Stegostoma tigrinum: one gene and its partners. Each later gene encodes a partner of the first gene's protein in a complex. Links are inferred from orthologs where the notes say so. Each region holds a gene or a part of one and is shown in the gene's direction. Other genes may lie near its edges. The genes, in order: transmembrane protein 237-like, cep290, b9d1 and b9d2.

Region 1 (7,772 bases):
TTCTCTCTCCATTTTTTTATCTCTCTCTTCTCTCCATTTTTTTTTCTCTCTCTCTCCATTTTTTTTCTCTCTCTCTCTCCATTTTTTTTCTCTCTCCATTTTTTTTTTCTCTCTCCATTTTTTTATCTCTCTCTCTCTCCATTTTTTACTCTCTCCATTTTTTTCTCTCTCCATTTTTTTCTCTCTCTCTCTCTCCATTTTTTTTATCTCTCTCCATTTTTTCTCTCTCTCTCCATTTTTTTTCTCTCTCTCTCTCCATTTTTTTTTCTCTCTCTCTCTCCATTTTTTTTTCTCTCTCTCTCCATTTTTTTTTCTCTCTCTCCATTCTTTTTTTCTCTCTCTCCATTATTTTTTTTCTCTCTCCATTTATTTTTTCTCTCTCTTCATGTTTTCTCTCTCTCTCCATTTGTTTTTAATCTCTCCATTTTTCTCTCTCTCTCCATTTTTTTTCTCTCTCTCTCCATTTTTTTCTCTCTCTCTCCATTTTTTCTCTCTCTCTCCATTTTTTTTCTCTCTCTCTCCATTTTTTTTTTCTCTCTCTCCATTTTTCTCTCTCTCTCCATTTTTTTTCTCTTCTCTCTCCATTTTTTTCTCTCTCTCTCCATTTTTTTTTCCTCTCCATTTTTTTCTCCTCCATTTTTTTTCTCCTCCATTTTTTTCTTTTTCTCCATTTTTTTCTCTCCTCCATTTTTTTCTTTTTCTCCTCCATTGTTTTTCTCTCCTCCATTTTTTCTCTCCTCCATTTTTTTTCTCTCCATATTTTTTTCTCTCCATTTTTTTTTCCTCTCCATTTTTTTTCCTCTCCATTTTGTTCCTCTCCATTTTTTCCTCTCCATTTTTTTTCCTCTCCATTTTATTCCACTCCATATTTTCTCTCTCCATTTTTCTCTCTCCATTTTTTTTCTCTCTCCATTTTTTTCTCTCTCCATCTTTTTTCCATTTTTGTCTCTCTCCATTTTTTCTCTCTCTCTCTCCATTATTTTTCTCTCTCTCTCTCCATTGTTTTTTCCATGTTTTTTCCTCTCTCTCTCCATTTTTTTCTCTCTCCATTATTTTCCCATTTTTTTCTCTCTCCATTTTTTTCTCTCTCTCTCCATTTTTGTTCATTTTGTTTTCTCTCTCTCTCCATTTTTTCTCCATTTTTTTCCATTTTTTTATAGTTTTTCTCAGGTTTATTGGGGTCTCCAGGGGGTAGTGGCTTCCATTGTTTTTTATTTTTTCTTCCCATAAACCCCCCCACACTACCTTCCACAGAACCTTCCCATCCTCACACCCATCCCACACGAGCCGGCACCACATGGCCATGGGGGCGGACTGTGGTGCCTACTGGCCTCAGTACCCCGGGGTCTGACCCCCACTCTAGTTTGCTGATGGCTTCTTGCTAAAGGGGAAGGGGGTGCTGTTGCATCAAACGTGAGAAATACTAAGTAAGTATTAAGGGGAGAGTGCAGAAGTGATATATAAGAATAGTTCCAGGAACGAGGAACTTTACTTTGAGGATAGTTCGAAGAAGTTGGGGACTGTTCCCCTCGGAAAGAAGAGGCCTGAGAGGAGATTCGATGGAAAGTTTCAAAATCATGAGCGGTCAGGATGGAGTAGATAAGGAGAAGCCTGTAAAAGGAACGTGAACGAGAGATTTAAGTGTTGAGAGGAAAAAAATACTTGTTTTCGCAGCGAGTAGTTAGGGTATGGAATGTACCACCTAGAAGTCTGTCAGAGGCAGGTTCACGAGACATTCAAGATGACATTGGATGATTATTTAATAGTAATAGTTTGCAAGTGTATCGTGAAAAATCATGAGACTGGCACAAGGGAGTGATGTTATTCGAAGAGTTCGAGGGCAAATTGGTCTCTTTCTGCATCATAACAATTCTGTGAATAATCAAGCTCTGAGACTATGACGCTTGACCGCTGTTGTGAACGTCCACATGTTTTAAAAAGAAAACAGGGAGAAGATAGTGGGGGCAGGATTATGCACGTTTAATAATTTGTTTCAGAAAGATTCATGTCAGAACTTTGATAAATCAGAAGTTAGAGTTTATTTTTGACGTTAAATACAACAATGAACCAAAATAGAAGTTGCTGGAAAAGCTCAGCAGGTGTGGCAGCATCTGTGAAGAAAAATATTGGAGTTAACGTTTTGGGTCTGTTGACTTTAACTCTGATTTTTTTTCTTTTCAGATGCTGCTAGACCTGCTGAGCTTTTCCAGCAACTTCTGTTTTGGTTCCTGATTTACAGCATCTGCAGTTCTTTCGGTTTTTATTTTGTATCGATGAACTGGATAGCTTAACATGAATGGTAGGAAAGATATACAACCCACATGTAACAAGGAGTGCAAATTACAGTCAGATTGCCACTCAGTTCCTACTTTCTTCCATTAGGACTGAGCTCCACATTTCTTGCTGGCAATTCCGATCTCAAATCTTTCAGGATTACGGAGCTTGGTCAGAATGGCAGTGTTGGGGAGAATGCATTTAATCGAGTCAGGCTGTGGTTGTCAGGAGTCCAGGGTGATGTAGTTTGGGAAGTCAATGAGGAGTCATCTTAATATTCATCCAGGTGTTGGATTAGGTTTTTAATCTTTTAACATTTCCTGGATAATTATCAGCTTAAGTGAGATTGTTCTGAGGAAGGGTCACTCAACCCGAAATGTTAACTCTGATTTCCGTCCACAGATACTGCTAGACCTGCTGAGCTTTTCCAGCAATTTCTGTTTTTGTTTCTGATTTACAGCATGTACAGTTCTCTTGGTTTTTATTGAAATTTCGATTAGTGGACTCTTTGAGGTTTTCTAGTACAGGGGAATTGCGTATTGAAAAATTCCATTTCCTGGACAGTTTCCACTGATTCAGCTGCTTGGGTATTCTGCATGATCATGACATGCAACTCCTGTCCAAGCTGCATCAATGATTATCTGGCCATTGGATTATTTGAGCCAATGAATTCTCAACTGAAAGTGAGAATAGAAAAATGTCTAGGAAACAACATCTTTTGGAGTGATGAGAATTTGAATTTATGGATTTCGTGAGCAAATTTAATGCTTTTATCACAATCTTGCTCTGCCTTGAGTCAGCCAGAATAATGTTTGAATTCTTGCATTGTCTCCACATGCCTCCTGAAGGATCTGTTTCATCTTCACTCTCTTGGCACTGGCCACTTTGCCATTCTGTGTCTCCATCTGCCATGAATCACCTGTTGAGCCCTGACTGGCTCTCCTAGACATTCCAATGCAGTCATTACCTTACATTGACAGGGGAATCCTGGCTAATTACCCTGCTGCCTCCCCAAGCCATTGAGTTCATCACAAGGCGAGGTTTCGGAGCTCAAATGTAAGCAGCTGCTGTCCTGACTGAGAGATGACTAATGTCATCACCTGGGGTTTGAACAAGAAATGTTTTGGTCTATATTGGCAAATGACATCTTGTCATCCCAATTGAGTTACCAGGAAAAAAGCCTAACATTTTCAACAGGTCAGATGATGATGGTAGCTCTAGTATATTGTGGAAGAGACTGGAATCAGTTAAGAATTGGTTTTATTAATCAGCTCAGTTTAGTGTCATGAAGACCTTGGTGGGATTCTATTTGCCTGGCAGGAGAATGGTTAGAAAGCAATCTCCAATCCCTTCACTTTCTTCAAGCATTATTGTTCCACTGACAGTGAAGGGCCATCCCTACAGTGCCAGCTTTAAGAGGGAGAATATTCATCATGTTGTGTTTTACATTTGGTGACAAGATTTCCAAATCCTGCCCCCGTCACAGCTGTCATATGGATAGTCTACGAGCTAATCCACTTTGTGAAGGATTTAATGTTGGATTAGTTTGAAGTAAGGTCACTGTTGACCCATTTACTGAGATTCGCAGATCACAGACACCATGAAGAAGCAAGCGGTGAGAAGCTAGAGTTTAAGTTTGATCTGGAAAGGGAAAATCATTTTCATATTTGTGACACGGTAAATCCCACTTGATGGTACAAGAAACACTAACCTTTATTCACGTGCTGACAGGGTTTGTGTGGATTTCATTTTTTTGTTCTGTTTTTATTTTGAGTGCTGGCGTGAGAGATGTTTATAGCAGAACTTAGAGAGTTCATTGTGAATAACACACTCTTACCCTTGCATTATTCTCAATGAACTGTTGCCAGCACATTGTTTTCTGAAGAAGGGCCCAGACCCGAAACGTCAGCTTTCCTGCTCCTCTGATGCTGCTTGGCCTGCTGTAATCATCCAGTTCTACACCTTGTTATCTCAAGATTCTACAGCATCGGCAGTCCCTTCTATCTCTCTCAGCCCAATTTATCAGCAGTTTTCTTTTATCAAATCAATTTTGAAGAAAGTGAAAGTTTGTATTTATACAGTTCCTTTCTTTTATTGAGACGGCCTCAAAATTTTCATAAACAACCTACTATCTTTTTCAAGTATGGGGTAATATTCACTAAAATTCCACAAACAAAAAATGCAATATACGATCAGAAAAACTGTTTATGGACCTGTTGTTTCAATAATAAATTTTGGCTGTAACAAGAAAGGGCTCCTTTATTCAAACAGGATCATTTATGCCCTTCTGAGGGCAAATAGAGCTGCAGTTTCATGTTACATCTGGAAAAGCACGTCTTTGATAATATCAGCCTGGATTGTGGCCTCGGGGTGTCATAATGATTGTGTCAGGAACTGTGACAGAATGCCCCCGACAGCCTTCAGATGGTTGATTTGAGTCAGGAATTGACAGTGGCATGCATACTGTGTAATGGTGTCATCCTTGATATTGACGATGACTTTCTGTGGTTTTATTTCAGCGCCCACCACGTGCACTTCCACCAGTGCCAAGGTAAGACTGCTAAGAATGGAGCTACAGTTGTGTGTCACTGCCCTCTGCAACTGGAGAGTAACAAAAATGTGATACTGTGATGGTAAATATTTTGGTAAATTTTAGATCTGTGGTGGGTGGCTAATTTTAGTGGAGGTTGGGCAGTGGAACAGAATACAGGATCACTGAGTAGCATGTCAATGGCTGGTCCTGGGCTGTTGGAGTGCGTTGGTAGGATTGGCTTGGCGGTCAGGCTGCTGGGTTGTGAGACTGAGACTGTGTTTAGTATTAGGGCTGTTAAGTACTGATGCTGAGTTGAAATGGCTGAACTATTGGGTAGTGTTGCTACATGATAGGTATTGGTTAGGTAGATAGTGAGGTGGGTTAGGAATGCACTGTGTATTGCATAGGTTGGAAGCTAGCTGAAGTTAGTTAGCTGAAGAGTGGGCTGAGTCTTAGTTTGCTGTGAGCTATGTGTTAGGTGGGTAGCAGGCTGGGTGGTGACTAGCTGGGCAGTGGGCCAGGTGTTGGGTGAATGGATAATGAGCAGGGTGTTGGCGAGCCGGGAAGCAGGTTATAATTGTGGGCTAGCTGGACAAGTGGGCTGGCTGTTGGGTCATGGGTTGGGAGTTCAGTTCTGTGATATGAAATACAACAATGTATTTTTTCTACATTTGTGATTTGGTATCTTTTCCCTTTGCTCAAAGATAGTTGAATACATTAATTCTTTCCTGTGACTGAACTTGAATATTCTTTATACTAGTGGTGGAATTTGATGAGAGGAAACCATTATTATAATCCTGGAACTTACATCCACGAGTATAGTTTGGCAGCATCTAAACACCATGGACAGTAGTGTTTCAATAAGACAGCCAACCATACTTTCTCAAGGGCAGTTAGGTTTGGCCAATATTCAGCCCGCAAAACCTGGATCTGTTAAATGAATTTAAAAATATGACTGTGGAGTTACGTAGAAGATCACAACCTCAGTTTCTGGTAGTTGCAGGATCACCTGGAGCATTGCCATTATGTGCAACAGGAGGGTGTTGTTATAAATATTTTTGCCTAGTGTTGGTGGCAGCAGGGAAATCAAGCATGATTCATGATTCCTGTTTCTAACTGTCCATCTGTTAATCCCAGCTGGATGCTATGTAAGGTTGACTGTATGATAGTTGACTGTGCCACCAGCTTGTATTACCACTTCGATGAGACAAGATTGGCCAGTCTGTAACCATGATTCCTTGTACCACAACAAGAATCAGAGGCTTCAGGATTGAAGAAGAGAAAGATGCAAGGAATTTAAAATTTCAGTATGTGGTAACTCATGGAAGACTTGTGGTCCAGTGGGCAACATATCTGCCTTTGGGCCAGGAGCTCCAGGCTCAAATCAGACTCCAGGACTCAATGGCCAAAGAAGGTAATTTTATAATTTGGCCAAATCGGTTGCGTATCAATCCATATATGCTTCTGACAGACAGCACAAAGGTTGTATGGTATTGCTCGAAAGCTGTGTGATGGAAAGAAATAGAGACTCTGTAGTCATTGTCTGTAACTCCAGACTACATCATATACATAAAAATACATGTTCTCACGCCAGTGTGCACTCCTTGGAAAGGACAGATCGGCGTGCTTGATGCCAACAGCATGGGGTTTAATCCTTGTTTTGACTGAGGCAGATTTGCAACCTGCCTCCTTATCCTGCCTGTGTTGCAGGTCCTGCTGCATGTGCGTTGAATTTCTCTCCAGGCAGAGAATTCAAGAAGCCAGAAATCCAAACTGTAATCACTGGGAAATATTTTGCTGTTGTTGATGACAAATTATAACTCCAGCATAATGACTCAGCCTCCTTTTGGAGATAAATGGAAGTTATGTCTGACCATCCTATTAGTTGCAGAAGAAAGAAAAGGCTACGGGTTCCGTTAGCAGGTAGCTCAAATGCAAGGAAAATAATGTTGTTGCTCTGAGAATTGCTGTCTTGGATCTATTTGGAGATGTGTAGTACTTGCTGTAGTAAGAGGTTATTGTCTTTCAAAGGGAGAAGCAAAAGGTGATGTTTTGAGATGCTCTGGTTCAAGTTTTCAAGATTGTGAAGATAATTGAAAAAGTTGATAGAGTGCAGTTGTTTACATCTGTTAAGATTCAAATCCCAGGGGAATGGTTAGAAAATGATGAACTTAGGAGTAAGAAGGAAAATCAAAAGTCCCTGTTTGCTCAGTACCTAATCCAGTTGTGGTATATGACACATAGGGAGAAACATTGAACTGGAGGGGCCAAGGAGAATTTAGATGAGCACCTGGAAGGACACGGGATGGAATGATATGGTGATATTCTGAATAAGTTATATTGATGAATATAGACAAGACCTGTGAGTTGAGGTGTTCTCTGATAAAGGAGGACATTTGTTGGTTTTTCGTTTAGTTAATGTTTTACACTGTGTCTGTATGCTTACCTTGTTTATTTTCTTTCTCTTGGCTGATGGACCTGAAGCACCAAAGTCAAAGGTAAGCCTTTAATTTTAACCAGTCCTCCCACAGATGTCTGTGATGACTTGTTATTTTATTGACAGTTCTTGTTAAGTGAATTGGTTATTTAATAACTGGTGGACAAAGGAACTGCTGCACCTGTTTTCTGTCCAGCTATTGCTGCAGATGGTTGCAGATAATTTGTGCACCAGCTAAGAACAGAACTGCATGCAATAATCATGGTTGTTGAACACCAGATATTGAACGCTGTTTAGACAGGGACCAGATTGAGAGGCATCATTATCCTGCAAAACGATCTTTTAATCTGAATTTAGTAAGCTTCCTTCAGAGTTTTTACTTTAGTTAGTGTGCCTTCAGGGTTGTTGACACTAATTTTGTTTAATTTGTTTATTTTAAATAGTAGATGAGTCCAGCATATGCTTTTCTCGTCAGATTTTTATTCTGATTTGCCACTGACAACTTCACCACCATTGATTACATGTTCC
Region 2 (7,641 bases), on another chromosome or scaffold:
ACGTTTGGGGCCCAGACCCTTCATCAGAAAAAAGTGTTATGTTCATCCACTCGCAATCTGTTTTACTTGCACCTCCTCCCTTTTTCTGCAGTATTAGAGACACAGTTTTCCAGTTCCTCAGTTCCATAGAAACAGTGTACTTGAAGCATAAAGTCTGTTCCTATCTACACAAATGCTACCGGATCAGTTGGGTTTCTCCACCACCGACTGTTTTGGCTTCTGATTTCCAGCATCTGCAACAATTAGCCTTTATCATCTGTCTCTCCCACTCACTTGGAGAGCCATTCACTCTGGAGACTCCCAGGTTGAGTCGTACCATCAGGACATCAAAGAAAATATACAACAAAGGGTTAAGGGGCACAAGGTAAAGAGTAAAGGGGAGTTAAGGGATAAAAAAGGAGTAAAGAGCAATGGGGGGGGTAAGGGGGGCTTTGAAATGAGTTGGTCGCCCAGCGGCTCCCCTCTCCCAATCTGTCCTTCCATTTGACAGGACCCGATACTAACCTGACCCCCACCCAAACGAACCCCCTCCCTTACCACTGCGGTGCTCCTCCCTGCTTCAAGACTCCACCCGCCGTTCTGCTAATTGCCAGCTCCTTTTAGCGACATCTCCTAGCAGCCACCCCTTTCCCTCCGACCCACCAACCAACCAACCAGACAGCATCCGCTTCCGGTCCGTTCTTAAACGGCCCTCCCCTCTCACTTCCGGTCCGTTCCCCTCCCCACACCCGGGGGCACAGCGGCTGCGGCCAGTGGGTCCGGGCTGCTGGTTGTTCCCCGCGTACCTTCTCTGGAGAAGGGTTTAGGCCCGAAACGTCAGCCTTCCTGCTCCTCTAATGCTGCTCGGCTCATCCAGCTCTACACCTTGTTATCCCATGCTCTCATGTGTTTGCACATTACCTCGACAAACAATCTTTACAGGAACAGCAAGTAGAAAAATAAAAAAAAACCGTTGATCTGAAATAGACTCCTGCTAATGGGAAATAAAAATGGAAAAATGCTTATATTTAGCATTTGGTATGCAACCTTGCAGAGTGGATCTTGCAACTGCTCCTGGGATTGCAGGCTTAGTTCAGGTTTATTTTACAGCTTTACAGTTATTATAGTCATCATATTTGGATGGATAGATGAATGTGAAAGGTTTGAAAGGATATGGGCATGGAGTAGGTAGGTAGGGGCTAGTTTAGTTTGGAATTATGTTTGTCATGGACTGGTTGGACTGAAGGGTCTGCTTCCGTGTTATGTGACTCTGACTATAATTACAAGGGAAAGCAAGACAATTGTTCAGATGTTTCTCCTCTGAAATAGAAACAAACTGCATATATCATGAGCTTTGGTTTGATTTGATTCATTATTGTCACATGCACATAGGTACAGTGAAAAATTTTGTTTTGTATGCTGTACAGGCAGATCATACCATAGTAAGTGCATGAGTGTAATAGAACAGAGCGAGGAATACAATTTGAAATTTCTGTTCATTCATGGCATGAGGGTATTGCTGGCAAGCCATGTGTTGCCCATCCCTAACTGCTCTTGACAAGGTGCAGTGAGCTACTTTCTTGAAATGCTCCAGTCCATGTGATGAAGGCAAACTCACATTGCTGTGAGGAGGTGTTGCATTTTGGTAAGGCATTCCAGGGCAGGACTTACATAGTTAATGTAGAGTACTAAGGAATGTTGCCATAGAGACGTGGAGTGGAATTGCAGGTAGACAGAGTGGTAAAAAAGGCGTTTGGCATGCTTGCTATCCCTGGTCAGAGTAGTGAGTATAGGAGTTGGGATGTCACGCTGCAGCGGTAAAGAACGTTGGTGAGACCATTTTTCGAGTACTGAGTACAATTCTGGTCACTCTTCTATCGGAAGGATGTTGTTAAACTTGAGAGGGTGCAGAAAAGATTCACAATAATGTTGCCAGGACTGGACGGTTTGAATTATTGGGAGAGACTCAAGATGCTGGGGCTTTTATCGCTGCAGCATTGGAGGCTGAGGCTGACCATTAGAGGTTTCTAAACTCATGAGGGGCACGGATACGGTGAATAGCCAAGGTCTTTTCCCTAGGGTGCGGGAGTCCAAAACTAGGGGGCATAGGTTTAAAGTGAGAGGGAAAAGATTTAAAAAAGATTAGAGGGGGAACTTTTTCATGTCAAGGGTGGTGCACATAAGAAATGAGCTGCTGGAGGAAGAAACATGTTAAAGGCATCTGGATGGGTATATAAATAGGAAGAGTTTATGGGAATTTGGGCCAAAAACTGGCAAGTGGGACTATGTCAAATTGGGAAGTACAGTCAGCACAGAAAAGTTGGACTGAAGGTTCTGATTCCATGTTGTATGACTCGATAAGTGAATTCCAGGATTTAGACCCGGTGATAAGGAAAGTTCAGGGATAGTCTTGATGTGTGTGACTTAGAAGGGCACTTGCAGGTGGTGGTTTTTTGATATAAATCTAGGCTGCACTCATCCTCCAACAGTAGCTGCTTCGATTGGTTGTATCCAGGTAATTCCACATGTTTAGATCGAGGAACATCTCCCAATTTAACTGCTACAAGATGATCTGCAATTGGAATATTCCAGTACTGACTGAATTACACTATCGAACATCTTCAAGTTTTAATCTCTAAAAATTGATTCTTGACATAAACATGACTTTCAAAGATATAGCAGGCATAGTATTAATTGGCTGAGTATTTTTAATAAAAATATCATTTTCATACTTTACTATTTATGCTGTTAGCTTAGACAATAGACAATAGGTGCTGGAGTAGGCCATTCGGCCCCTCGAGCTAGCACCACCATTCATTATGAACATGGCTGATCATCCACATCAGTATCCTGTTCCTGCCTTATCCCCATAACCCTTGATTCCACTATCTTTAAGAGCTCTATCTATCTCTTTCTTGAAAGTATCCAGAGAGTTGGCCTCCACTGCCTTCTGGGGCAGACCATTCCATATATCCACCACTCTCTGGGTGAAGAAGTTTTTCCTCAACTCTGTTCTAAATGGCCTACCCCTTATTTTTAAACTGTGTCCTCTGGTTCTGGACTCACCCATCAGTGGAACATGTTCCTGCCTCCAGAATGTCCAATCCCTTAATAATCTTATACGCCTCAATCAGATCCCCTCTCATCCTTCTAAACCAGTGTATACAAGCCCAGTCGCTCCAACCTTTCAACATATAATAGTCCCGCCATTCCGGGAATCGACCTTGTGAACGTACGCTGCACTCCCTCAATAGCAAGAATGTCCTTCCTCAAATTTGGAGACCAAAACTGCACACAATACTCCAGGTGCAGTCTCACCAGGGCCCTGTACAGCTGCAGAAGGACTTCTTTGCTCCTATACTCAATTCCTCTTGTTATGAAGGCCAGCATGCTATTAGCTTTCTTCACTGTCTGCTGTACCTGCATGCTTGCTTTCATTGACTGATGTACAAGAACACCTAGATCTCATTGTGCTTCCCCTTTACCTAACTTGACTCCATTGAGCTAGTAATCTGCCTTCCTGTTCTTGCCACCAAAGTGTATAACCGCACATTTATCCACATTAAACTGCATCTGCCATGCATCCGTCCACTCACCTAGCCTGTCCAAGTCACCCTGTATTCTCATAACATCCTCCTCACATTTCACACTGCCACCCAACTTTGTGTCATCAGCAAATTTGCTAATATCACTTTTAATGCCTTCGTCTATATCATTTATATATCGTAAACAGCTGCGGTCCCAGCACCGAACCTTGTGGTACCCCACTGGTCACTGCCTGCCATTCTGAATGGGACCCATTTGTCACTACTCTTTGCTTTCTGTCAGCCAGCCAATTTTCAATAGCTTCTGAGACTGAGGGCTATATTCAATTAGTAGAGGTACTGAAGGTGCTGAATATGGCAATAAACAGAAGAAAAGTTAGCAGTGTTTGGTCCAATTAGCCAGCATGTTTCAACAACAATTTTGTTTTGGTTATTTTGATGGACAGTCATCAGACTTTTGACACTGACTGATATTCAGACAAATAGCAGTGTTGAGCTAAAGATGATAGTAGGGCAGGAAACTAAAACTAGACAGAGAGGTGGATTTCAATGTTTGCCCTTAAGGATTACAGGTTACTGGTGAGTATTTGACAGGGAATTCCAGAGCTTTGGTGAAACCTAAATACTGTAGTTCCTGGAAATCTGAAATAAAATTGAATATGTGAAGAAAGTATTCATGCTTTGAAACCAAAGCTTCAGAACTTGAGCCTGTACTGTTACAAGTACCAAGCCACCAAGGCTGAGTCAATAATAATCGGGAACTTGCAATAAACCAAAAATGCAGAGATGGTGGAGGAGAAAGCAAGAATTGCAGATGCTGGAGTCAGAGACAACAAAGTTTGGAGGTGGAGGAACGCAGCAGGTCAGGCAGCATCAGAGCAGCAGGAAAGTTGACATTTCTTCCAAGTGTCCTGACCCGAAACTTCAACTTTCCTGCTCCTCCTGCTGCCTGGCCTGCTGTGTTCCTCCAGCTCCACACTGAGATCGTGGAGGGCTGTAGACAAACAACTCAAACGTTGCTGTGTTCTCCCTCTAACATCCTACCACCATTTAGTCGCTTATAGCATACACGACTGTATTCCATTAGTCACTGCCAGTGCCACCTGGAGAAGGGTCTTTCTGAACCAGGTGAGGGCAACCCGGAGGCAGAAATATCGCGAGAGTGGCTACCTCATGTCGTAAAGTGCCTTAACATCTGCCGTAGAGGCATGATGGTCGCCTAGCAGCAGCTTCCAACGGTCCCGCTGTCTCGGGCGCCCGGCAGAGAGGTAATGGAATCTCTAACTCTTTCTGTCTTGTTATTAATAAAATACCCTGAAAGCGGTTCAAGCTGGGCCGTGAGGCGCTGCCTGTAAGGACGGGACACTGACGTTAGCGAGTGGATATTACAATGCGCCCGGGGGACATGAGTGAATATATATCACACTCCCCGCCCCCGCCCCCCGGGGACGTGAGTGAATATATATCACACTCCCCGCCCCCGCCCCCCGGGGACGTGAGTGAATATATATCACACTGTCCCCCTCCCTCCCGGGGGACATGAGTGAATATATATCACACTCCCCGCCCCCGCCCCCCGGGGACGTGAGTGAATATATATCACACTGTCCCCCTCCCTCCCAGGGGACATGAGTGAATATATATATTACACTTCCCCCCCAGGGGACATGAGTGAATATATATATTACACTTCCCCCCCCCAGGGGACATGAGTGAATATATAATCACACTGCCACCTCCCCCACCCCGGGACGTGAGTGAATATATATCGCACTGTCCCCTCCCTCCCAGGGGACATGAGTGAATATATTATCACACTGCCCCTCAGGTCCCAGGGACATGAGTGAATATATATCATACTGTCCAACACCCCCACCTTGGGTGACATGAATGAATATATATCACACTGCCCCCTCCCCAGGGACATGAGTGAATATATAATCACACTGCCCATCTCCCCCTCCCCCTACCCCCAGAGGACACGAGTGAATATATAATCTCACTGCCTTCCCCCCCCCCGCCCAGTGATGTGTGCCAGTGTATGTTGTTACTGCCCCCCACCCCTACTGATGTGAGTGAGTGTATGTTCCAGTGCAACCGTCCTTTAGTGACATGTGCCAGTGTATATTGCCCTGCCCCCCCCACACCCCCGTGACATGAGCAAGTGTATATTAACACTCCCTGGCGTTCCATTCCTTCCCCCACTCCTGGGTGACATGAGTCAGCGTATATGATACTGGCCCCCTCCCCCAGTGACATGAGGAAGTGGATATTACATTGCCCTTCTCTCCTCCCACCCCTGTAATGTGAGCAAATGTATATTTCGCTCTGCCACCTCCCAAGGTGACGAGAGCAAGTGTACATTTTGCTGCCACTTCAGGGTGATATACTACACTGACCCTGCCCCCTGCCCCATGACATGAGCAAGTGTATATTTACACTCCTCGGCATTCCCTTTCTTCCCCCCCCCCGGTGAAATGAGTGAGTGCATATTACACTGGCCCCGTCCCCTAGTGACGTGAGCGAATATATATTACACTGCCTTCCCCTGGGTGACGTAACCGAGTGTGTATCACACTGCCCTACCCCAACCCAGGCTGATGTGAGCAAATGTATGTCACAATGCTTCCACCCCTTCCCCCAGGTGATGTGAGTGAATGTCTGTAACGCTGCCCCCGGGTGATGTGTGCAAGTGGACATTACACTGCTACTGATCCCAGCAAGTATCAGTTATACTGCCCTCTGGGTGACATGAGCACACGGATGTGTCACACTTTGCACACACCCAACCCCACCATCAGGGAAAGAAAATGTATGTTGGCAGCTCGGTTTGAGTTACATGGTTTTTTTTAATCACTTCTGTGTATTAAAATGTAGGGCAAGAGGCAAAGCATATCGACCACAGCAAAATGACTTATTTTCCCCATGACAATATTACAAATTTAATAAATATGCCCAAAATTTTTTTTAAAAGCTTCGGTGTTGATTTTACCACACTTATGTGGAAACCACATTCTCCGCAGATGGCTCAAATTTTCATGCAACACCAAGACCTGCAACATATAGCTGACAAAAATCAAACTGCCTTGTAGCCTCCAGAGCCAATCCATATTATTATAAGGAACAGTTTTTTCTGTGGCAGTATACTCCTTTACTGGCCTTTTGCCTTTCAGCATACATTACGACCTCACCAAGTCTCCTTGGCTTCTTCTAAATCTCACACCAACAGCCATGTAGAGGGACAAGGACAGCAGATACATAGGTGATGTGGTCTACCTACACTAAATGGACTGCAGTGGATCAAGAAGGCACCTCCTTCAAGGCATCTTTGAATGGGCAATAAATGCTGGCCCAGCCAACGTTGCCCTCGTCCCCTGAATGAATTTTGAAAAGCAGAGATAAGCCTAACCTCACCCAAAACGCTCTTGCCTGTGACCTAACTCTCACTGAGTCCCATTTATGTGTCACTCCTTGCTCGCTGACTTGTATTGGTCCCAATCGTGCCATACCTCTATTTTGAAATTTCCCATGTTCAGATCTCTCCATGGTCTTGGCCTTCACATCTCTATGACCTTCTCTTGTCCAACAAATCCCTGGATACTCTGCACTCCTCCAGATAGAACATTTTCATAAACATTGGAGACTGTGCCTTCAGCTACTTGGGCCTTAAGGTCTGGAATTTCCTCCCTGAAACTCTCCATCTCTCTCTTTTACTTCCAGACACTTGTTGAGACTGTTCTATTTGTGATCATCCATCCTAATAACTCTTTATGGCATTACATTTTGTCTAACAATGTTCCTCTGAAGCACGTTGTTGTGTGAATTTGATGAGTAAACTCAAGTTCTGATGAACATTCACAGGACTTGAAAGATTAACTCTGTTTTCACTCCACAGATGGTACCAGACCTGCTGAGTTTCTCTGGAAATTTGTGTTTTTGTTTCAGATCTTTGGCATCCACAATTTTTTATTTTATTTTGGTGAGATAAGCTGACTTGTTCCTCAGAAATTCATATCCTGAATTTTCTGTCCTGTGAATACCTTTCATATTTTCTGATAAATAGCTATTTAGTTTTCATGATTTGGGCCTCTTCAGTAATAATTTGTCCCATTTGCTG
Region 3 (7,410 bases), on another chromosome or scaffold:
TCAAAAAAATGCATCTGGTTCACTGATACTGTTTAGGGAAGGAAACTACCATCCCTACCTGGTCTGGCTTGCATGTGACTCCAGACCCACAGCAATGTGTCAGAGATAGTAGGAACTGTAAATGCTGGAGATTCCAAGATATACCAGGTGTAGAGCTGGATGAACACAGCAGGCCAAGCAGCATCAGAGGAGCAGGAACGCTGACGTTTCAGGCCTAGGCCCTTCTTCAGAAATTTCTGAAGAAGGGTCTAGGCATGAAGCATCAGCCTTTCTGCTCCTCTGATGCTGCTTGGCCTGCTGTGTTCATCCAGCTCTATACTTTGTATACCCCACAGCAATGTGGTTGAATTGTAACTGCCGTCTGAGCAATTAAGGATGGGCAATAAATGCTGACTAGCCAATGATGTCCTCATCCCGTGAATGAATAAAGAAAAAAACACTCTGACAAGAGTCAGCCTTGCAAATGGTGATGTAGCCAAGACTTGGCTTTCAGGAAAGTGAAGAAATAGCTGTCATCCTTTATGTTGTTGGCACACTAGGATCCCAAATGAGATCTGGTATTGACATGTGATGCCTCCCTGTATATGGCATCAGGGTAGAATTAGTTCGTGCGTGAAATGATGGAGAGGAATGCCCAATAGCGTATGCATGCAGGAACTCGGTTAATGCAGACTGTAAGTATGCCCAGATAGGGAAAGAAGGTTTGGTGGTCATGTGTGGAGTCAGGAAGTTCTATTAATACCTTTACGAACATAAATTTGTAATAATAACAGACTACAAACTCCCACTAGGTTTACATATAGAGTACAAGACAGTGCTGCCCATAGCTTCAGACTCAATTTAGTGGTGGACTTTAAAAATGAGTCTGTATGATTACAACTTGGAATACTGTCTGGGATGTCATGTAACAAGTGCGGATGCATTGAGCCGCCTCCTGCTGGCAGATACACCACCAGTGGTGCCATCACTGGAACAATCTGTAATGGTTTTAAATATTTTGGACACGCTTCCAGTCACAGCTGACAATATCAGACTTGGGACACAAAACAAATCTGGTCCTGACAAAACTGAAACAGCTAGTACTGATGGGGGAAGCCAAAGGTCCATTACAACCAGTATTGAAATCTTTTTGGACTTGGAGAGACCAGATCACAGGAGATGACACATATTATTATGAGGAGCAAGAATGATTGTCCTGAGCAAAGGTTGCCATCAGATACTGGCTGAACTCCACTAGTGTCATTCAGGGGTTTCCAAAATGAAAATGTGGGTGAGGAGTTATATCTGGTGGCCAGGATTTAAGGCAAATATAGCTGCATTGGTTGGGTAGTACCTAGAGTGCCACAAGGACAAAAACTACCACCAACACCTCTCAAACATTCATGGTAATGGCTGGGTAAGCCCTGGACTTGATTTCTGTTGACTATGCAAGTCTTTCCATGGGCTCAATGTTCTCAGTCATTTTGGATGCCCACTCAAATGTGCATAGAGTTAGTTAATTAAACATGGGGATGATGATAAAAAAAACTGCGCACATCTTTTGCAATACATGGACTGCCAGAAGCATTGGCCACAGAAAACTGACCATTGTTTACCAGCAGGTATTGAGTATGTCCTCAAGTTGACTAGCATTCAACATATAAGGACAGCTTCATACCATCCATGATCCAATGGTCTAGCAAAAAGAGCACTCCAAACTTTGAAGGCAAGCTTAAAGAAACAGCCTACACCTTTATTAGATATCAAATAATAATAGTCCCCAGTAGTAGCTATTCAGTTTCCTAGGTTGATTGTTTTACACTCCTTTGTCTGCCCAGTTGTTCTTCTCTCTGTCTAGGCTCTATCTGGGTATATGAATAGTAAGGGTTTAGAGAGATGTGGGCCAAATGCTGACAAATGGTACTAGGTCAGGTTCAGATGCCTGGTCAGTGCAGATTGGTTGGGCAGAAGGGTCTGTTTCAGTGTTGTGCGAGTCTATGACTCTATAACTAATGGAAAAAAAAGTGTGTTACTGTCCACTGCCCTCCCCATCCATAGGATGTCCCAAAATGCTATAACCACTCCAGTGCATTCACTGTTGCAATAAGGAAAATGTAGCACTCAGTTTGTACCCAATTAACTCCCAAAATGTGACCAATGTCATAATGACCAGCAAATCTGCTATAGTGATATTGATTAAGTCAGTCAATGATTCAACCTTAAGGCCCATCTCAGCATTAGTTTTGGAATTATAATGCTACCCTTAAACACACAGCATCCAGTCATCAAATTACAATTTATCCAATACATTCATACACATGCTTCCCTTAGTCACATTCAATATTTTGGCTGTTTAGTTCAAATTTTAATGGCTGGGTTGAATGTTTCTTTTGTTGTACAAGATAGTGGTTTTGAAAGATTTATTGATGAGGTTCATCCCAATCTGACGATATCACACAGTCTGAATAGAGAATAGGCAATTTACGAGGTCCCTATTTAGACTGCTGTGCCACCTGCAGCTCCTGAAAGCCTTTGTAATTATGCTTACCAAATCAAGATAAATTACACTAATGGTATCATGCAATTAACTATATCTTATTGTTCAGACAAGATGGGCAAAACAAGGATGACGGGATTCAGAATCTTGGCGAACACAGTTCTTAAGATACACGATTGCTTCAAAATTAAATAACAGATCTCAAGCTGAACGAACAAGTACACTATTCTATTCAGAAGGCCCAACAGCTGATGATGTTAAAAATAATCAAATCTAATTTAAGGGACAGATACCGTTGAGAAGTTCTAATGCCTTTAATACCTATAATTACTTTAATCTGAGAACAAATTCCAATGTTTGACAAAAAGGTTCAGCATGCAGGAGAATCCGTTAACAATTTTATTATGATCTCTATAGATTAGTGGAAAACTGGCTGCGGAGCATTGAAATCTGAATTCATAAGAAACAGAATTGTTGTTGGAATTATTGATGAGTCTTTGTCAGATTTATTATAATCGAAAGAAGATTTGACTGTGAATAAAGCTATTCAAATTGTGTTGGAAGCAGAAATCAGGAAGGGTTTATTGATATAATATAAGAGAACAGGAAAACCTTGCCATCGGAGACCAACAAAGTCTAATTTAAGAAGTATGAACACTCTACAGACAGACGTGACAAATAAACACAAAATGTACACTAACAGCAAATACTGTGAGTCACTATCTGTATGGTGGAACAAAAAACCTCATGAGCGTGTCTAGCTAAAATGAAAGAATGCTACATTTGTAAAACTGTTAATTGCTTCCAGAAAATGTGCAGAAGTAGGATACAGTTGGAAAGCAGCAAAAAGCCAATGCTTACTCGCACAAACAGCTTCATATTTTAGAACCTCCTTTTTCAAAATGATACTCTTGTTTGACAATGTACCTGATTGATTAGAAGAGATGCATTCCTATGTGAAATTGGTGATTCAACTGACCCACATTGGCATGCTGCATGTTCATGGATATCCATCAATTTTAAAGTTTATAAAGGTGTGACTGTCACTCATATTATTGCTGAAGAAACAGCAGGTACAGATACTGAGATGAAACTACATGATGCAAGTGAAATAACTGTAAAGCATGAAGGTATTCTAGAAGTAACACTGCATAAAGAAGCATATGATAATTGAAAATATTTATGTTATTCACAAGCCTCACTTTTAAGTCATTACAGTATCTTAATCTGAACATCCTTGCAGTAACTGAAGGACTTCAACTAATTCCAAAAGAACAACTGTAGAAAAACAACCTTGTTGAAGAACTCTAAATTCATGATGGAATTCAAAAGGACAAAGAATCCATTGAGATCACAGATGTTGACATAGGAGGTTTTTTCATACTGTCAACAGGAAGGAAGCCACTGTCTTTACATGGGTTGTGGGGATTTTAAAAATTTCTATAATGACTGAAGAGCTATTGGATGACCAACCTTAGAAACATTTGTCAGAAGAAACAAATACTGAAAACAAGAATTTGTGGTACAATCTAGTTGAGCTTATTCATTAACCTTTAATGGATGCGCATAAAGCAAAACAACACACTGGACAAATTTACAAGACAACTTTGCCTTTATTGCTCGATGACGATGAAAACAGAAACTCAAGAGCAGCATTTCAATCCTGTACACTGCAAGGAACCAAGTACTTGTTTCAACAGAGCAGCTGTCTTCGTTAGCACAACGGTCTAAAAAGGTGATAGTTCATTTTTCACATTTAAGAATTTAGCAAATATGATAGGGTTAGGGTTTTAAGAATGATTGACCTTAATTTTTTTGACTGCTCCAGATTTGCAGCATGCACGTTCGGAAAAATGAGTTAGAGGTTCCGGCATTGGGGCTGGAATTCAGCTGCTGCCAATCACATGCCGCGCAGGCGCAAAGACAGTGACGGGCGTCGTCCTGGAGATGGTGAGGCTGGGAGTCGGTGGGATAAACACGTAAGATTGAGAAACATGCTGTCCGGAAAACCGTCTGTGTTCCTTTTAATGGTCAACGGGCAGATCGAAAGCGCTGATGTAAGCATTGCTTTTATTCAATGTAAGAGGGATGTTATGCCCTGAGTGTTTCGCCTGTATGATCCAGTTTCTATCCTGAAACTCAGTCTGGATGTGAATGTGTCCCGGGCCTGCTGGCGGCAATCCCCTCGGCAACCAACCCATAGTAAGTGCGCTTTAGAATCCTTGTGGCGAGTTGCAAAGAGTATCCTTTATTAGTTACCAATTTCAAAGAATATCCGTTCGTTACTTTGTAAACCAGCTATTATAGTACATGCAATGCAGAGCTCAAGTTCTGAACGCCTCCCTTAGACTAAGGGAGAAACATTTAGTGTGGGTATCTGGTGTATCTGCCAAGGGATCATTTTTGGTAGTCGGAATAACATCTTAACTGCCGCATTTCCTGATCAACACATTCGCAAACAGATGGTCCGCACTTCGCCATCACCCTCTCTTGCAGACTTGGTTCCAGTTAAACCATCGAAGAAACGAAAAATAATGCAAATGCTGGAGTTTTTCTCTTCCCCCGAGGCTACCAGACGTGCTGAGTATATTCAGAATTTTCTGTTTTTATCCCACTTAATCAACATCTCCTTGTTTTCAAATCCCTCCATATTGGGTTTTTCTCCTATTTAAATAATTTCTTCCAGCTCGTCTTATAGGAACTCTGCTTTCATTCTGGGGTCTTGAGCTTGTCTTATTTTAATAACATCATCACTGTGGTCACGTATTCCACTGTGTAAGTCCTTAACCCTGAAAGATTTCCTCACTGCCCCCGCTCCCCCTCCCCATTCTGCAGTTCCTTCTTTTAAACTTGCCTGTTGAGTAAACTTTTGTTCACCTGCCTTAATACCTCCTTATAAAAAATGAACATTCACTGAATTTGAATTAAAACATTTTGGGAGAGCTTTCCAGTTTATTCAAAGAATGCATTACCAATTATAGATTAGAGAAGAGGGTGATAACATTCGGAGTTTTTAATATGGTCTCACTCCAATGACTGTGCTGCTGTCAAAACAGACTCTAGGAAGAACAGTTATAATGTTGATATGAAGGTGAACCCTAGAAAAGATTAGTACTGTAACAAAATGGCCTTGAAGTCAACTCTTTTGAGTCAAAGTTTAAGTTCAGACCTATATTTGCCATTTTTTTTTTAGCTAATAAGTGCATGTTTAGTACTTTGTTTTGCATTAGGAGCAAGGCTCAGTTTTCAGCTCAGAAATACAAATTAAGGTTCTACCAGCCGAAACATCAAAGTATAGGACCAAGCAGGCAAAATGGAGTGTGTTACCATGAATGTGCATGGGAGTTTAAGACACTCTAACACAGACCTCATGTGGCAACAGACCAACAGAAATGTGCCTTCCTGCACTAACCCATATGCTTAATTTATATGTTTAAGTTGACCCCTGTTGTAAGGATGTTTTGATCCCTCAAACATTGACTGACTGCACTGAAATTGTAGTAGCCAGATTGCAACAAAACTGTTTATTCTCCAAATAATATTCAGCCCTTCAGATATAAACTGTTGTTTCAACCCAGGAGAAAGTTATTTCTAATTATTGTCTCATTATATGACAGTGAATAAGTCGCAATGCCAGACTTCTAACAAAATTTGTATTTCTATCTGTATGTTGCAGTTTTGTAACTTTCTCCTGGTTGAAAATTTTGATTCTGTTAAAGCCTTCATGAGATAAAGACTCAAATTCCTGCATGCTGTTAACTGATGTTATAAAAATACTAATTTGATTGCAGATATTTTGTGGGTCTCTGATTTCAAAACATACTAATCTCACCAATATTGAATGTGAAACTTTAAAACCAAGCATATCAGCATTTGAAAAGTTTTGCAATTTTTATTCATTTTAATTCAAATTATTTTTTCCCCAGTTTCCAGAGTTTGATGAGCTGTATTGCAAATACTCCTATGTGTATGGACATGACTGGGCTCCAACAACAGTAAGTGTTGATGTTAGTTCGTTCAGCTCATTGTGGGATAAACATTTAATCCTATAATAATTAATAAATGACTACAAGCTTAGTTACAATGACAGTCTGAATTCTGTGCTTTTCCAATGTAATATAATTTGAATTCTTGGATATCCTTGGATATTGAGTCATTCCAGAATTACAGCTGCCTTGTAGCACTATTCTTATGTTATAGGAGCTAATTAAAATCATAAATTTAAATGAAATGTCACCTCAGTGGTGATGCACTCTTAATGATGTCATTATAAACTACTGAACTCCTTAATGATTGTGCTATTTTTGTTAATCCAAATATTTATTGTAAGAATACTTCTAAATGAAATAAATTGCTTGAGGTTTTTTTGTTGCTAGATAAATAACCCCAGAAACTACACCCCTAGCCTATCTAATTTAAATAAATTGTTAATAAGATTGTGAAGTAGTGTGCTTTTTGTTGATTTTCAACAGTTTCTATACACTGTGTTGTGTACAAAATGTTCTTTTGTAGAAAATAAATTTTAGAAATGTTGTTTTGAAATAATTGAATGGTTTAGGACACTTTCCTGACATTTACAATAACTAAGTCTGTTATGTCTTTTAGCTAATGAGATAGCTTTTTGCATTGTAGACAAATTATCATTCAGAAAGATCATAAATTGACACTCTACAGGTGTAACTAGACTCTCAGTAAAGTGTAGGGGTTAATACATGAAATTTTCATGCCACATCTTTTGGTCTGTAAGAAACAAATAGAACTACAGATTTATGTGGTACACCAAAATTTCCTGAGAATTTTATTACCATGAGAATGACACTGACTGAAAGAAACTTAATTTTACAGGTGAAGATTGGAATTGGAATAAAAACCTCTCTTTGCATATCATCTACATTGTATTTTAATATTTAGTACACATTTTTCTTCTCGAAGTC
Region 4 (7,399 bases), on another chromosome or scaffold:
AGAGGGATGTAGGAGAATCACAGAATCCCAACAGTGCAGAAAGAAGTCGTTCAGCCTGCATCGACTCTCCAAACAACATAGCACCCAGATGCAGCCCTTCTCCCATAACCCTGCATTAACAACAGCTAATCGCTGAGCCTACACATCCTGGGACACTATGGCCAATCCAGCTAATCTGCACGTTTGGACCGTGGGAGGAAATTGGAACACTGAGTAAAAACACACACAGACACGGAGTGGGCGGGTATGTAAACTCCAGACAGTCACCTGAAGGTGGGAACTGAACCCGCGTCCGTGGAACTATAAGGCAGCAGAACCAACCACCCCAAAAGACAGGGAGGAAGAATGGGGGAGGTGGAGAGGGGATGTTGGGATGTGAGACGAGGAGTGGGGGCGGTGAGGAATAAAAAGTGGAAGGGGGAACATTGGGGTGTGAGAGGAGGAGCGGGGACGGTGAAGGATAAAGGGTGGCGGGGGAATGTTGGGGTGTGAAAGGAGGAGCGGGGGTGGTGAACAATAAAAGGTGGAGGGGGAATGTTGGGGTGTGAGAGGAGGAGCGAGGGCAGTGAAGGATAAAGGGTGGAGCAGGAATGTTTGGGTGTGAGAGGAGCAGCGGGGGCGGTGAAGGATAAAGGGTGGAGCGGGATGTTTGGGTGTGAGAGGAGCAGCGGGGGCGGTGAAGGATAAAGGATGGAGCGGGAATGTTGGGGTGTGAGAGGAGCAGCGGGGGTGGTGAAGGATAAAAGGTGAAGAGTGAACGTTGTGGTGAGAGAGGAGGAGCGAGGGTGCTGAAGGATAAAGGGTGGAGCAGGAATGTTGGGGTGACAGAGGAGGAGCAGGGCGGTGAAGGATCAAGGCTGGAGTGGGAATGTTGGGGTGTGAGAGGAGGAGCGGGGGCGGTGAAGGATAAAGAGTTGAGCAGGAATGTTGGGTGTGAGAGGAGGTGTGGGGGCAGTGAAGGATAAAGAGTTGAGCAGGAATGTTGGGGTGCGAGAGGAGGAGTGGGGGTGGTGGATGGGGAATGTAGGGCTGTGAGAGGAGGAACGGGGATGGTGAAGGATAAAAGGTGGAGCGGGAATGTTGCGGTGTGAGAGAAGGAGTGGGGGCGGTGAAAGATAAAAGGTGGAAAGGGGATTGTTGGGGAGTGAGAGGAGGAGCGGGTCAGTGAAGGATAAAGGGTGCTGGAATGTTTGGAGTGAAAGGAGGAATGGGGCCGGTGAAAGATAAAGGGTGGAGCGGGAATGCTGGGGTGTGAGAGGAGGTGTGGGGGCGCTGAAGGATAAAAGGTGGAAAGGGGAATGTTGGGGAGTGAGAGGAGCAGCGGGGGCGGTGAAGGATAAAAGGTGAAGAGTGAACGTTGTGGTGAGAGAGGAGGAGCAGGGGTGCTGAAGGATAAAGGGTGGAGCAGGAATGTTGGGGTGTGAGAGGAGGAGTGGGGGTGCTGAAGGATACAGGGTGGAGCAGGAATGTTGGGGTGTGAGAGGAGGAGTGGGGGTGCTGAAGGATAAAGGGTGGAGCAGGAATGTTGGAGTGCGAGAGGAGGAGTCCGGGTGGTGAAGGATAAAGAGTTGAGCAGGAATGTTGGGGTGCGAGAGGAGGAGTGGGGGTGGTGGATGGGGAATGTAGGGCTGTGAGAGGAGGAGCGGGGATGGTGAAGGATAAAAGGTGGAGTGGGAATGTTGCTGTGTGAGAGAAGGAGCGGGGGTGGTGAAAGATAAAAGGTGGAAAGGGGAATGTTGGGGAGTAAGAGGAGGAGCGGGTCGGTGAAGGATAAAGGGTGCTGGAATGTTTGGAGTGAAAGGAGGAATGGGGCCGGTGAAAGATAAAGGGTGGAACGGGAATGCTGGGGTGTGAGAGTAGGTGTGGGGGCGCTGAAGGATAAAAGGTGGAAAGGGGAATGTTGGGGAGTGAGAGGAGGAGCGGGGACAGTGAAGGATAAAGGGTGGAGCGGGAATGTTTGGGTGTGAGAGGAGGTGTGGGGGCGCTGAAGGATAAAGAGTGGAGCGGGAATGTTGGGCTGTGAGAGGAGGAACGGGGACGGTGAAGGATATAAGGTGGAGTGGGAATGTTGGCGTGAGAGAGGAGGAGCGGGGGCAGTGGATGGGGAATGTTGGGGTGTGAGAGGAGGAGCAGGGGCGGTGGAGGGGGAATGTTGGGGTGTGAGAGGAGGAGCGGGGGCGGTGGAGGGGGAATGTTGGGGTGTGAGAGGAGGAGCAGGGGTGGTGAAGGATAAAGGCTGGAGCGGGAATGTTTGAGTGTGAGAGGAGGAGTGGGGGCAGTGAAGGATAAAGAGTTGAGCAGGAATGTCGGGATGCGAGAGGAGGAGTGGGGGTGGTGGATGGGGAATGTAGGGCTGTGAGAGGAGGAGCGGGGATGGTGAAGGATAAAAGGTGGAGCGGGAATGTTGGGGTGTGAGAGAAGGAGCGCGGGCGCTGAAGGATAAAGAGTGGAGCGGGAATGTTGGGGTGTGAGAGGAGGAGCAGAGGCAGTGAAGCACAGAGGATGAAGGGGGATTGTTGGGGTGTGAGAGGAGGAGCGGGGGCCGTGAAGGATAAAGGGTGGAGTGGGAATGTTAGGGTGACAGAGGAGGAGCGGAGGCGGTGAAGGTTAAAAGGCGGAGGGGGTATGTTGGGGTGTGAGAGGAGGAGCAGGGGCGCTGAAGGATAAAGGCTGGAGCGGGAATGTTGGGGTGTGAGAGGAGGAGTGGGGGTGGTGAAGGATAAAGGGTGGAGCGGGAATGTTGGGGTGTGAGAGGAGGAGCGGGGGCGGTGAAGGATAAAGGCTGGAGCGGGAATGTTTGAGTGTGAGAGGAGGAGTGGGGGCGGTGAAGGATAAAGAGTGGAGGGGGAATGTTTGAGTGTGAGAGGAGGAGTGGGGGCGGTGAAGGATAAAGAGTGGAGGGGGAATGTTGGGGTCTGAGAGGAGAGGGGGTGGTGAAGGATTAAAGGTGGAGGAGGAATGTTGGGGTGTGACAGGAGGAGCGGGGGCAGTGAAGGACAAAAGGTGGAACGGGAATGTTGGGCTGTGAGAGGATGAGTGGGGGCGGTGGAGGGGGAATGTTGGGGTTTTTGAGGAGGAGAGGGGGCATGTTGGGGGTGAGAGGAGTGGGGGCGGTGGAGGGTGAGTGTTGGGAGTGAGAGGAGGTGTGGCGGCGGTGGATGGGAAGTGTTGGGGGGTGTGAGGAGGTTTGGGGGCGGTGGAGGGGGAATGTTGGGGGGTGAGAGGAGAGGGGGCGGTGGAGGCGGAGTGTTGGGGGGTGAGAGTAGGAGAGGGGGTGGTCGTGGGGGAATGAGAGGAGGTGTGCGGGCAGTGGATGGGGAGTATTGGGGTTTGAGAGGAGGTGTGGGGCAGTGGAGCGGAAATGCTGGGGGGTTAGAGGAGGAGTGGGGGTGGTGGAGGGGGAGTATTGGGGTTTGAGAGGAAGTGTGGGGCAGTGGAATGGGACTGTTGGGAGGTGAGAGGAGGTGTGGGGGCGGTGGAGGGGAAATGCCGGAGGGTGAGCGGGGGCGGTGGAGGGGTTATGTTGGGGAGTGAGAGGAGGTGTGGGGGCGGTGGATGGGGAGTGTTGGGATGAGAGAGGACAGGGGTGATTGAGGGGGAGTGTTGGGGGTGAGAGGATAGGTCAGTGCAGGGGGGATGTTGGGGGGTGATAGGAGGAGAGGGGGCGTTGGAGGGGAAATGTTTGGGGGTGAGAGGAGAGGGGACGGTGGAGGGGGAGTGTTGGGGGTGAGAGGATAGGTCGGTGGAGGGGGAGTGTTGGGGGGTGAGAGGGGGCATTGGAGGGGGAATGTTGGGGGTGAGAGGAGGGGTCGGTGGAGGGGGAGTATTGGGGGGTGAGGAGAGGGGGTGGTGGAGGGGGAATGTTGGGGGGTGGCGAGAGGTGTGGGGGCGGTGGAGGGGGAATGTTGGGGGGTGAGAGGAGGTTTGGGGGCGGTGGAGGGGGTACGTTGGGAGGTGTGGGGGCGGTGGAGGGTGAATGTTGGGGGGTGAGAGGAGGTTTGGGGGCGGTGGAGGGGGTACGTTGGGAGGTGTGGGGGCGGTGGAGGGTGAATGTTGGGGGGTGAGAGGAGGTTTGGGGGCGGTGGAGGGGGTACGTTGGGAGGTGTGGGGGCGGTGGAGGGTGAATGTTGGGGGGTGAGAGGAGGTTTGGGGGCGGTGGAGGGGGTACGTTGGGGGGTGAGAGGAGGTTTGGGGGCGGTGGAGGGGGTACGTTGGGGGGTGAGAGGAGGTTTGGGGGCGGTGGAGGGGGTACGTTGGGGGGTGAGAGGAGGTTTGGGGGCGGTGGAGGGGGAATGTTGAAAAGCTCTGGAATGGGGGTGGGTTTTCAGCCGATGCTTGACCTCGCCCCGCCCCATACATATCCAATTGGCTGAATGCCGTTGCGTTCCAGCCAATAGGCGAGCACAATACTTGGTTGCCAAGAGCTGAGGCATCGATGGCGGTAGCGGAGAAATAGTTAGCGAATAAGAAGACTGGGAGAGGAGGAGAGAGCGAAAGAGAGAGATAGATCGAGACTACGGGCAAGAGATAAAGAATTAAGGAAGACGAAGGGAACGGGGACATTTCACGGATGTCACGCGAAACGCAGTGCCCCTCTTCTTGATGCTGATTGGTTGATCCGTCGAGTGGCTACGTTCCGATTGGTGGGTCAGCATGTCAATCATGGTTAGGACCGGGCCTACATCTGGCAGGAGTCTGTTTAAAATAACCAGAATAACTAAATTAACAAGAACAGCTAATATAAAACATCCAGCAAGATCACTGGATTCAAATGTTAACTGTTTCTCTGCCCACCGATTCTTCGAGACCTGCTGAGTTTCTTTTCTTCACTCACTACTCTCCATCAGAAAACGATATGGGCAACAGTTTGGGGTTAATCGCAGAGTAAATCGGCCTTTACTTATTAAACTGAAGCCTCAACACTGTGTCAATCAAACATTCCCAGGTCAGGGACAGCATTGAAACAATGGATTGTATTGATTACAAAAGTAGAATTTGCTTGTCAAGCTCAGCAGATCTGGCTGCATCTGTGGAGAGAAGCCAGAGTTAACGTTTCGAGTTGAGTGGCCCATCCTAAGAACTGATTGCATTGATTATTTCATGTAGTTCTTGGGGCTGTAAGGATCAAAGGGTATGAGGAGAAAGCAGGAACACGGGACTGAGATGGATCATCGGCCAGGATCATATTGAATGATGGAGCAAGTTTGAAAGGCCATATGGCCTACTCCTCTCTTGTTATGTTTTTGTTGACCTTATTTGTGCTGAAGCACTTGTAAACAAAAATCAGTTTGCTGTATGGCATTGCCTCTACTCCCGGCATTTCAAGGAATCAAAAGAAACATAAGGAAAATTTTTTTTTCATGCTGAGTGTCGGGAATGCACTACGGTTTCGTGGAGGCAAACTCACTTAAGGCTTTGGAATTGGATAATTATTTGAAAAGCTTTGTATGCCTATGTGAGAATGGGACATGCTAAGTTGCTGTTGGAAAGAGATGGCACTGACACAAATGACCTCCTATGTCAACCATATTCAAAATACTTTATAAAGCATATTTGTAGTTTGAGGAACTGAGAGTTCCTGAGCTTTGCCTGCTCTGAAAACCTTGGAGTAGGAATGAAAGAATTGAAAGGAATGAAGGAATTTGAGTTAACCCTCAACAATACCTTTTAGAGTTTGCAATTTTAAAAATCATTTTTGACAATTTTTATCTGTGGGTATGTTTCCCTGGTTCGTTGGGTGCTTGACCTGAAATCTGTTTAGCCAGAAGAATGGAAGTAATGTTTGATACCAGGGAGTGTGATTGCTCTCTGTTTGGCTGAGGGTGCAGTTTGTACATAGCCTAATATTCTTTTTTTGCAGGAAGATGGCTGAGCTGCATATTATCGGACAGATTGTTGGAGCAAGTGGTTTCCCGCATAACAGCCTGTTCTGTAAATGGGGGCTGCAGACAGGTGAGACTCTTGCTGATGTGTGTGTTGGGAGAGGAATGGAGGATGTTGAGAAACATGAGTATCATGTGCCACATTTAATTTCTTCTACGTTTATCTGCCAAGGCCAGAATTAGTTTCCCATCCCCAATTGCCCTTGACTGAGGGGCTTGCTCGGACCATTTTGCAAGGCTGTTAAGAGTTAAATATGTTGTTGTCGGTCTGGAAACACATGTAGGCCAGATGGGTAAGGATAACAGATTTTCTTCCCCAAAAAATGATAGTTTCATAATCACCATCATGGGTTATTTAGATTTACTGTCCAAATTTATTAATGGAATTTAAATTCCACCAGCTGCTGTGATGGGATCGAAACCACGTCCCCAAAGTGTGTATGGGGATACTTTGGATCGCAAGTTACAACATTACTGTTGTTAGCACCTCCCTGCTAAACTGCATTTCCTGGTAGTACAGCAGGGGTGCTGGCATCTGCTCTGCTTGATTCCTGTTAGAGACGTGGACTTAAAATGGTTTATAGTTCAGACCAAGTAAGGATTCTGTTCAATAAGGGACATTATAGAGAATCACTGGGCTTGTATGACCATGCATAATAGTAGTCATGGTCACTGTTTTTGACACTAGCTTTATATTTCCAGATTTATTAGCTCTAGTCTGTTTAAATTTTCCACAAGCAGATTTTTTTTTTAAATTTCCAATCAACACATCTCAGAAACATATTTTATCTTCATTAAATTGTCTTTCATAGCCTTGTGATGTCCATGTGTAAATTAGAAAAATGTCTTTGAGAAAATAATGTTCTGTATTAGGTTATAGGAGTACTTTTGAGAGATGTGGTAAGCTTGAGATTGTTGACTTGCTCACCAAGCCAACTTGAGCTGACTTCTTTTTGTTCAGACGTTTTGTCACCATGCTAGGTGACATCATCAGTGGAGTCACCGATGAAGCGATGTTATTCTACTCCACTTGGAATTTAAACTGTCTGGTCCGTTGCTCATCGTGACAAAAAGTATGAACAAAAACAAGTCAGCTCAGTGAGCAAGTCAACAACCTCATCCACAACCCAAGCTACAGATATTTGCCAAAACTTTAAATATGGTGAGAGATAGTAAGAACTGCCATTGCTGGAGTCTGAGATAACACAGTGTGGAGCTGGAGGAACCCAGCAGGCCAGGCAGCATCAGGGGAGCAGGAGAACTGACGTTTTGGATTGGAATCCTTCTTCAGATTTGAAGAAGGATCCCAACCCAAAATGTCAGCTGTCCTGCTGTTCTGATGCTGCCTGGCCTGCTGTGTTCCTCCAGCTCCACACTGTGTTATCTTTAAATATGGTAAGCTTGCTTGAGTGGAACCATCTCAGTTTTTCCTTGTCATGTCAGGTGCTTGCTAAACTAATTCATCATGATCAACTGGAAAGATTAGTCTACAATTCTGTTACTGTTGTATCATTTGG

The links.
Region 2: transmembrane protein 237-like (region 1) and cep290 share a complex: the UniProt entries of both Homo sapiens proteins name them as parts of the tectonic-like complex. The link is inferred for Stegostoma tigrinum from reciprocal best matches to the Homo sapiens genes TMEM237 and CEP290.
Region 3: transmembrane protein 237-like (region 1) and b9d1 share a complex: the UniProt entries of both Homo sapiens proteins name them as parts of the tectonic-like complex. The link is inferred for Stegostoma tigrinum from reciprocal best matches to the Homo sapiens genes TMEM237 and B9D1.
Region 4: transmembrane protein 237-like (region 1) and b9d2 share a complex: the UniProt entries of both Homo sapiens proteins name them as parts of the tectonic-like complex. The link is inferred for Stegostoma tigrinum from reciprocal best matches to the Homo sapiens genes TMEM237 and B9D2.

The regions. Positions count from the first base shown.
Region 1 is NC_081360.1:20,407,665-20,415,436, reverse strand, and holds the start of transmembrane protein 237-like, read left to right. Parts: upstream 1-4,768; coding exon 4,769-4,825; intron 4,826-6,135; coding exon 6,136-6,221; intron 6,222-7,291; coding exon 7,292-7,305; intron 7,306-7,772. UniProt on the Homo sapiens protein: Component of the transition zone in primary cilia. Required for ciliogenesis.
Region 2 is NC_081371.1:48,912,517-48,920,157, reverse strand, and holds the start of cep290 (centrosomal protein of 290 kDa), read left to right. Parts: upstream 1-4,639; 5' UTR 4,640-4,792; intron 4,793-7,641. UniProt on the Homo sapiens protein: Involved in early and late steps in cilia formation. Its association with CCP110 is required for inhibition of primary cilia formation by CCP110.
Region 3 is NC_081376.1:40,138,507-40,145,916, reverse strand, and holds the start of b9d1 (B9 domain-containing protein 1), read left to right. Parts: upstream 1-4,398; 5' UTR 4,399-4,470; coding exon 4,471-4,533; intron 4,534-4,543; exon of another isoform or gene 4,544-4,630; coding exon of another isoform or gene 4,631-4,678; intron 4,679-6,402; coding exon 6,403-6,471; intron 6,472-7,410. UniProt on the Homo sapiens protein: Component of the tectonic-like complex, a complex localized at the transition zone of primary cilia and acting as a barrier that prevents diffusion of transmembrane proteins between the cilia and plasma membranes.
Region 4 is NC_081392.1:8,436,667-8,444,065, forward strand, and holds the start of b9d2 (B9 domain-containing protein 2), read left to right. Parts: upstream 1-4,396; 5' UTR 4,397-4,643; intron 4,644-5,860; exon of another isoform or gene 5,861-5,864; coding exon 5,865-5,952; intron 5,953-7,399. UniProt on the Homo sapiens protein: Component of the tectonic-like complex, a complex localized at the transition zone of primary cilia and acting as a barrier that prevents diffusion of transmembrane proteins between the cilia and plasma membranes.